Linked DNA regions of Oryzias latipes. The protein of the gene in region 1 interacts with the protein of each later gene in a pairwise test. Links are inferred from orthologs where the notes say so. Each region holds a gene or a part of one and is shown on either strand. Other genes may lie near its edges. The genes, in order: ankrd13a and qdpr.

Region 1 (4,490 bases):
TCGAAGGCGTTTAGACATCGTTTGCTCAAGAGGAAACGCCTTTCAGAAAGTGTGCAGGTCTGTGATATTAAACATCGGAAGTGAAGCCGTTCGCGTTAGCTAAATCTAGCTAATTAAACATAAGTCTGCCACTTACTGCGTTAATTCTTACAGCTCTTTGCTAGCTGTTGGGGTTTGGCTAGCGCTTGTGTGACGACCATGACAACTTAACCACTCAACCCTTACAGTATGAGCTGCTTTGGCTGACACATTGCTGACTAGAAGCCACCTGCCTGGCTAAGTACTCTATTCCTATTTGGTAGTTTACTTCTCAGCCTCCTGTAGGCAGAGCAGCGGCGACAGCAATCATAACCGGGTTTGTTTTGCCCATAATCTTGACTGTCAGGTACAAAAAAAAAACTTTCACAGATCTGGGTAATAAAGCCTAATGGCAAGGCATTGTGCTAAATCATGCAATTACCCATAGTACTCACCATTGCAATATTTTATATTAGCATAAAAATAACACGTAGTTGCAGTGTAGCGGGTTTTAAAGAACTGTACACCAGCGCATGTAAATATTGACCTGGAAGGGAAAATTGCGGGCAAAAATTAAACATAGGTTTGGTGGTAAGTTCAATGACTTGTGGAAGTCGTAAATAGATTAACGCCTATATGTCTATAGTCGGGCTCAAAACTTACATTTTTGCATTAAAATAATAGTTACATAATGGATTGGACCAGTGTGCAGTTACCAAGAATTTGTAGCGGCCTGAGTGGTGGACCCAAAGAGCCTAAAGCATTTTAGAACTAATTTTATTTCTTGATAGCCCGTCAATCAGACAGGAGAGAGACATAGGCAAAGAAGCTAGGGGCGTGTATTGGTAAGAGTCTGGCGATACGATATGTATTGTGATAAATGTCTCACTATACGATATGTGTAACAAATCTCATCTGGAGCCCACTACAAATCACCACAATCTGCGTTTTTATATGGTACTGGCAGCAACGTGGCACAGAGTTTGGGTTCTTTACCCAACCCAAGCAAAAACTAAATAGTAAATGTCTCATAACTACAAAAACTGCGAAGCTGACTGAACATTTAGCATTTAACACAAGCTGATTCTCACAAGATGTTGTTGTTTTGGTGCGGTGTAGAGCTGCTCAAAGATGCTCTGTGTGCTGTGCTACCAACTAGCGGTTGAGGGTTTATGTGGTAAACACGAATCCCACACTGAAGGATGCTCATAAACTAATTAGATAAATATCATACTGACAGCATTTTAAATTGATACAAGTATAGTGATATGTTGCAGAATCAATTTTGCCCTACACCCCTAATAGAAACCAACACTATAGTCACTTAACAAAAATGTAAAGCTAAGAAAGTCAAATATTACGCTAAAGAAACAATCAGAACAAATAATAAAGATGTCTGCTTATAAAAGTAGACACAAAACAGATGAGAATTAAAGTCAAGACAAATTAAACAAATGGGGGTATTGAAAAAATTACTTATAGTTGTTACTCGTTTATAAGTAAACGCTTTCAAATAATTCAAACTTGTTGGTTTATGTAGTTGCTGTAACCACATCACACTGATAGTACGATTAAAGGTTTCTTACTTTCTTAGCAAACACTTGAAAGCACCAGCGTAATGTTGATGTCAGAAACGGAACATTTCTTTTTAAATATCTGCAGGTTTTTACATTGAATTTTAAAAATTATTTCTCATAATAATTACATGCGTTTTTAAAATATTACGGACAATAGTTTTTGTTCGGATACAAATGTTTACCTGGTTAGTACTTTGATGGGTTTTAGAAAACTCCCCCAAGCTTTTTATTAGTAATGGTAGAGTCCAAACTGGAACTGCCATTTATTTCTTTCGTTTTTCCTTAAAAGAAAAACAACAACATTCATTGTAACGGCCTCTGTACTGGATCAACTAATTGGGTGTCAAGTGTAAGTTGGTTTAGATTTCAAAAAGGGTTTTAAATTATTTAAAATTTATTAATAAGGCTTGCCATACTGGCTTTCTGTCCGACACCCCTGTCGTTGCTGAGTCCTTCTTCTGGTACTTCCTTATTCGAAAGTTTTATTTAGGGGAAGGCTCGAGAGGGAAAAGTTAGACTCTTGTTTGGGTATTATTTCAATGTAAAAGCATGTACCGTATGCTTGATACATTTCTAGCGTGACTATAGTGTTGTTTCATGGCTTAAATTATTGGAAGCTACCATCCGTGAAAGGCTCGCCAAGAGGAAGATGTCCACGGCTAACGACGTTAGCGAAGACTTCAGAGTGAAGTTTCCCCTGCATGTCGCAGTGTGGGACAATGATTACAGAAGACTGGAGGAACAAATAAGGCTACAGGTTGGTAAAAACCTACAAACTCACATTCGTTCTTTGATTGTTAGCTGAAGCCGGGAGTTAGCTGTTGAGTGCCTGGAGCAGAAAGTAGGCCAGTGATGTTGACAGATGCTAAACACCAACAATGTTCTATTATCGGTTTTAAGCTAAAGTTAGTCGCTGACGAATCAACAAATGCTTGTTTTTTATTAGTTTCTTTTCTTTTCTTTTTTTTTAATGGTTTACAACGGAAACTCTGTTAACACAACACAGTCGAACCGAATGGTGGTAGCAGTCAATATAATATGGTGCGTTTGAGGACCTGTTATTTGCTAATTTTTGTAAATATTTGTCTAATTAACATTTATTGACAGCTGTAATGATAACGACTGTTCATTTCTGCTCTATAACCATTGCTATAACCGAAACCAGAAGTGCGACTTAGGCATCTGAATTAGACTTCTTGTATTTGTTTTGTTTTTAGAACGACATTGACAACGTTGACCCCAGAGGTCGAACAGCATTACACCTGGCCGTGTCACTGGGACACCTGGAATCAGTGAGAGTCCTCCTGAGACATGGTGCTGCAGTAACTAAAGAAAATGCCAACAACTGGACAGGTTTGCTTTAAAGACCTACTACTCCAATGGAAATTGTGTTTTTGCGTTATTAACATGTTCTTGTAGCATTTCTCACACAATGGAGGACATATATTTAGAAAATTCAGCTTAAAACTGCTTTGCTGAGAATTTTTTTATTCAAATACTTGTGAATCAGAAGCAGATGAAAAAATGACAAATTATCATCTGCAGACCATAAGATCCCTGTTCTGCTCCGTTGTGTTCGATCCACCTGCAGGCAAATAGATTCGTGTACGTCTTCCTTTTCCTCATGCAAGCTCGCATCTGGTTTAAAGCTGTATGGCTGGATAGCTCCAATATTGCTCGCCACTGTAATTGCTCCGCTAATTTTAGGTTGGGGCTGTTGGGTAGCTGGGAAGAGTGTAAACAAAGGTGTGGTGGGAAATCATGCTAACAGTCCCAGCCACAACTCAGAGGCAAATTTCTAATGAACTTCTGCTGCTCTGCAGAACCTGTCTCAGAAAATGACACAGGTTTGTTTTTTGTTCTTTGCTTTGGCTGAAAATGACTAAATCATAATTTAAAAAAAAACACTGGAAACGTTTTAACAATAGTTCAAAAGATGATAGGAGTGGAACTTTAAATCACACATCATCGAAGAAGATGCCTTTCCCACTTGATCATTGGTGTATTTATAGCATTTCACTCCTGATATTTCAGTTCATTATTACTAAAGTTGATTATCTTTTGAATGTGCATGAATAAATCATTATTTCTTTGAAAGGCCTGTTAGTCTGTGCATATATATTTGCTTCTGTATAGTGTTGCAGGAAGCAGTGAGCACTGGAGATCCAGAGATGGTCCAGTTGGTCCTTCAGCGCAGAGACTACCTCAAAGCCTCCACTGCTTTGGGAGGAGTTCCAGAGCTCCTGTCAAAGATTCGAAAGGTTTTCCTCAAAACTTTCTTTGCCTTCATTCTTTCTAACGACACCGTTTGTGTTTTGGTTAATATGAAATTGTTCCATTTTCACCCACAGTCTCCAGACTTCTATATGGAAATGAAGTGGGAATTCACCAGCTGGAGTAAGATGTGTCTTGTTTTGTGATTTTGGAAAATGTGTTTTATAAAGTAAATTCTTTTCCAAAGGGTTTTGTTCAACAATTGTGCATATGGACAGAAAAAAAGTATCTCTAACTAACAGATTATAAAGCAAATTGGCGCAACTGTTTATCTGTTTTTTTTTTTTTGTTGTTTTTCATTTCTGAGTGAAATAGTCTTTTTGTAAGACATTTGTGTCCTGCTGCTGCTTCCCAGTTCCTCTTCTATCACGGGTTTGTCCAAGCGATGTCTGCCGCATATGGAAAAGTGGTGCCTGCCTGCGAGTGGATGCCACTCTTCTTGGCTTTGAAAACATGACATGGATCAGAGGTCGTAGGAGCTACATATTCAGAGGAGATGGTTTGTGTGTTTCTAAATGATGCTCAAAGAGGCCTCTCTTCTTGAGTTCAGCTGTTTTCCAATGGGATCGCGAGTGCATCGCTCTGTCTCCCGGCAGATTCGTGTGCAGAGCTGATGGAGAT
Region 2 (3,816 bases), on another chromosome or scaffold:
ACAGTTTCTCCCACCACCTTTCATTCTTGGACTCCAACATTCTGCTATACGTCTATGAAGTGTCTCAGCTGCAAAGGCCTGAAAGACGTTTCTGAAAACAAATTTCTGTTGGAGGGAGCTTCAGCAGAGTTCAACAGGGAGTCCTCAGAATAGTTATGGGCAACAGTTCAAAAAAAAACTTTAAAGACATTTGTTGCTTATTTTCTGTCACTCCTGATGTAAAACAGAAAAGGCAGAAAGTGGAATAAAGTTGTCTGAAGCAGAGAGGCAGCTGCTGTCTTCTGCTCAGTCCTGCAAAGGGCTGACAGAAGTCTTTCATGGGGGTGAGCAGGTGATTGATGGGCTGCATGTGAGGTCATGATGGGGCGTCGTTTGTCCTCAGCCGTTGGAGCCGTGTTGCTCTGCGGATGTTTTCAGTCGCTCCGGCGTGTCTTTCACGTCTTCAGGGCAAAGAGGCATCACTTCAGCTCACAGAAACATGGCTCTGTTCATTCGCTGACAAGAAGATTATTTTCTATTATGTCTACAAAGAAAAATAGTAAGCAGGTAAAAAACAATAAAAAAAAAACTCCTGGCTGTTTAGGCAGAACAAAATTTTGTTCTCTGGAGGAATGACTGTTGATGGATGAGTAATTATAAAACTATTTAAATGTGAATTTAGTGGCGACACTGATCTGAGGTCTCCATCAAACTTCTTGATTTTGTGTTTTCATTATTGGCTCCCTCATTACAACAAACGCTGCAGTGTCACTGCGATGTGATGAATCTAAATACATGTATCATTTTACAACAAAAGAATCACCATTTGATTCTGTAATTCTCTGGTTTCATTTGAAGCTTTTCTCATCAGACAGAAGGATGTAAATAAATCCAATGATGTGATTCTCATCTCAGCTTCTGATTTGAGCACAGGAGATGCAGCTGTGGGTCACAGCTCTAACAACTGCTTTCTTCAGTGTACGGTTTATGTCGCTGGGCAGAAAGGAAGCACTTCATAGTCTAGCTGGGCTAATGTAATTAAGGCAAAGGACATTCACAGGTTTTTACGTGCAAGCAGCACAAAATCTGACGGAAATTCACAGAGATCAGGCATCATACGGGCAGAGATGCACATGCTGCAGATAAAGCCTCTCTTTCTTTAAAAAAAAAGTGTGACCAACAACATTTAGCCTCAGATGCGTGTAAAACACGTGCGAGCGATTCACCAATGTGGATTTTGGCTGCACGTATCACGTATGACCAACATCAATTTCCATTAGTTTTAGTGCTGGTTCCTCTAGAAAATGTATGAATAAAATCATCCATGTTTGAAAACTTTAGAAAAACATTAAAACATATACACATCGATGAACCAAACTAGCATGCTACTTGCTAGCGCTCACTTTAGCACACATTTCACAGCCTGATTTCTCTCTATTTAATCATGATTACTCTCTTGTCACGGTTCCTGTTGATCGGAATATTTTCTTGTCATGATGGTTTTTGTAGTTGATTGCAAAACCATTGCGTCCCCTTTTGTGATTCTTTGCGTGTTTGTCCGGACCTCCTTCGTTCTTCACTTGAGAAGACTGGATGCATCGTACTGGCACATGTATGTCACGTGACGGCCAGTCCAGTAATATGTATCAATGCGCTCATGTCAGCGCGGCTCAGAAGACATGATCTGCTGAGATCATCACTGACCAACGGTTGTTGTTCACAAATGAAGGGAAAAATCTGATTTTCAATCTACCTCACTTTCATTCCTCTGCTTCTTTTCTGGTTTGTTTTTAATAAAACCTCGACTCTGTGAATTTTAATGATGCAAAATCAATTTTTGAGCTTTTGACTGTATTAAAATGTTCAATCCTCACATAAAAACATGTATGTCAAGAAAGTTTGTTTAGTTAACAAGTTTATCACAGATCTGACCCCAAGTCTGTACACAATAATTACAGGTACAGGAAACACGTCCCAACCAACCAAGTTGCAGGAACCGTCAGCTGTAGGAGCAGTGTTCAGAACCAAGCCTTCCACGTTGATTCAGAACCGAGCCACTTTGTTTGATTGACAAAAATAATGACGCCCATAAAAATGGAGCCTCTGAGGAAACCGTTCAAAACTGGTTTTGCATCTCAAACCTCCTTTTAGTTTAGTGAATGGAGGGCATCCATAGAGCCCAGCTCCTGTCATGTGACCATGTGTGAGATTGCTTATCATATGTGGACCTGCCTGCCTGCCTGTGTGTGATGATGTCTGTAGAGCTGCCGTTCTGACAGAATCCTTTGTTTTTGCAGGACGTTCTTCAAGTGGGCTGCAGGTGAGAACAGACCTGCCTCAGGAAGCCTCATGCAGCTTCTGACCTCTGACGGCCAAACCCAGGCCGTGGCTGCTCAGTAGAGAACAGCCGGGGGGGTCTGATAGGCAGGGGATAGATGGAACCAAAGAGGATGGGGTGGAGCAGAGCAGAGCTGGTGAAGAGTGGGAGAGAAGATTGATAAGGATGGGAAGAAGAGGAGAGAGCAGGATGGAGGAAGAGCAGACTCACAGTGCCATCTAGTGACAAATCACTACATCTGTCCAGGTTTAACACAGCCGTCAAACCTCCCAACTGTTCTTCCTGAAGGACCATCAGGAGGTAATGGTCCTGCAGAGCCGCAGACATCTGTGTGCTAAATGAGATGTTTCAGTGTATGTTTGAGGCTGCTGTAGAGCCACAGCAGCTAATAAAGTCGTACTTGTGATGCTTTACCGTGTGTGACGTCATATCAGAGTAATTCTGTCGTGGCAGTGTTATTACAGCAGATTCATGTACTAGAATCAGCAGAGCTTTGCCAGTTCTCCATCCTCTGAAGGGCCTTTCCTACCGGCTTACACAGCTCCAGCATCAGGTGTTGGTTCACTGTCTACACTCTGGAGTTCCTCTGCTCCTGTGGAAACTCCACAGATGAATCCCACCGTCTTCTCTAACACACCAAGTGTTTACAAATGGAGTGGCCTTATTTTCCTTTGCAGCTCTGAAGTGTCCTTCATGCTGTTGGCATGTCTGAAGTGTCCCGGTGATGTTGATTTGTCCTGTAGCGGTCCAACATGTGATGCCTCCAAAATAAAACTACTATTTTAAAAATTCACCTGCTAAATGAAGGAAACGTCTTTATGAGTGTTCATGGATGATAACCTTCCTCTGGTTCTGTGTGCAGAACAGTTACTCATTTCATTTAAATTGGAGGGGAAAGCTAATGTTTCTGATTTTCAAAGATCCACAACAGATTTTTTTATTTAGAAACATTCTTTTCGAAGCTGGAAGTTAAAACCATTTCAATTCAATGGGTAATGTTCAAACAAAACAAAAAAAAAAATCCTTTTTAAATGTCTTCAGTCTGTCTGTTGGCCCATCTTCTAGCCTCCTCATTAGATTCATGTTCCACCCCCGTTCTGCTGGCTTTGAGCAGCAGGGATCAGTCGTTCCCCATCGAAAATGTTAAAAAGCAAAACAAACCTACACCATTGGCCTGTAGGAACAAAAATGTTACAAGCTCTCCAGGAGCAAGTTATGAAGTGTTATTGTGGATCTGCTCGTCCTGGCCACATCTTCAGTGACTGGCAGGCTTCAGTGTATCAGAGGTTACAGTCACACATGAAATGATACAAGTTTGTGGTGATTACCTACACTAAAAATGGAGTAGCAGTGAAATTATTCAAATCACATCTTTTTGTTTTATAAATCTACCTTTACAGTTATTAATAAACATGATAACACATTTTCTTTTTAATGTCATTTTTGTTTTTTATTTACATCCATTCTCACAGCCACTAATCAGAAAAATTGTTCGTAGT

What was found.
Region 2: the proteins of ankrd13a (region 1) and qdpr interact in a two-hybrid assay, tested with the Homo sapiens proteins (2 studies listed by BioGRID). The two-hybrid records come from large-scale screens. The link is inferred for Oryzias latipes from reciprocal best matches to the Homo sapiens genes ANKRD13A and QDPR.

What each region holds. Positions count from the first base shown.
Region 1 is NC_019867.2:13,052,185-13,056,674, reverse strand, and holds the start of ankrd13a (ankyrin repeat domain-containing protein 13A), read left to right. Parts: upstream 1-1,632; 5' UTR 1,633-2,244; coding exon 2,245-2,352; intron 2,353-2,812; coding exon 2,813-2,948; intron 2,949-3,731; coding exon 3,732-3,856; intron 3,857-3,946; coding exon 3,947-3,992; intron 3,993-4,224; coding exon 4,225-4,368; intron 4,369-4,465; coding exon 4,466-4,490. Other genes in the region: ARF GTPase-activating protein GIT2, read right to left, coding at 1-18. UniProt on the Homo sapiens protein: Ubiquitin-binding protein that specifically recognizes and binds 'Lys-63'-linked ubiquitin. Does not bind 'Lys-48'-linked ubiquitin.
Region 2 is NC_019868.2:550,533-554,348, reverse strand, and holds the end of qdpr (dihydropteridine reductase), read left to right. Parts: intron 1-2,276; coding exon 2,277-2,379; 3' UTR 2,380-3,110; downstream 3,111-3,816. UniProt on the Homo sapiens protein: Catalyzes the conversion of quinonoid dihydrobiopterin into tetrahydrobiopterin.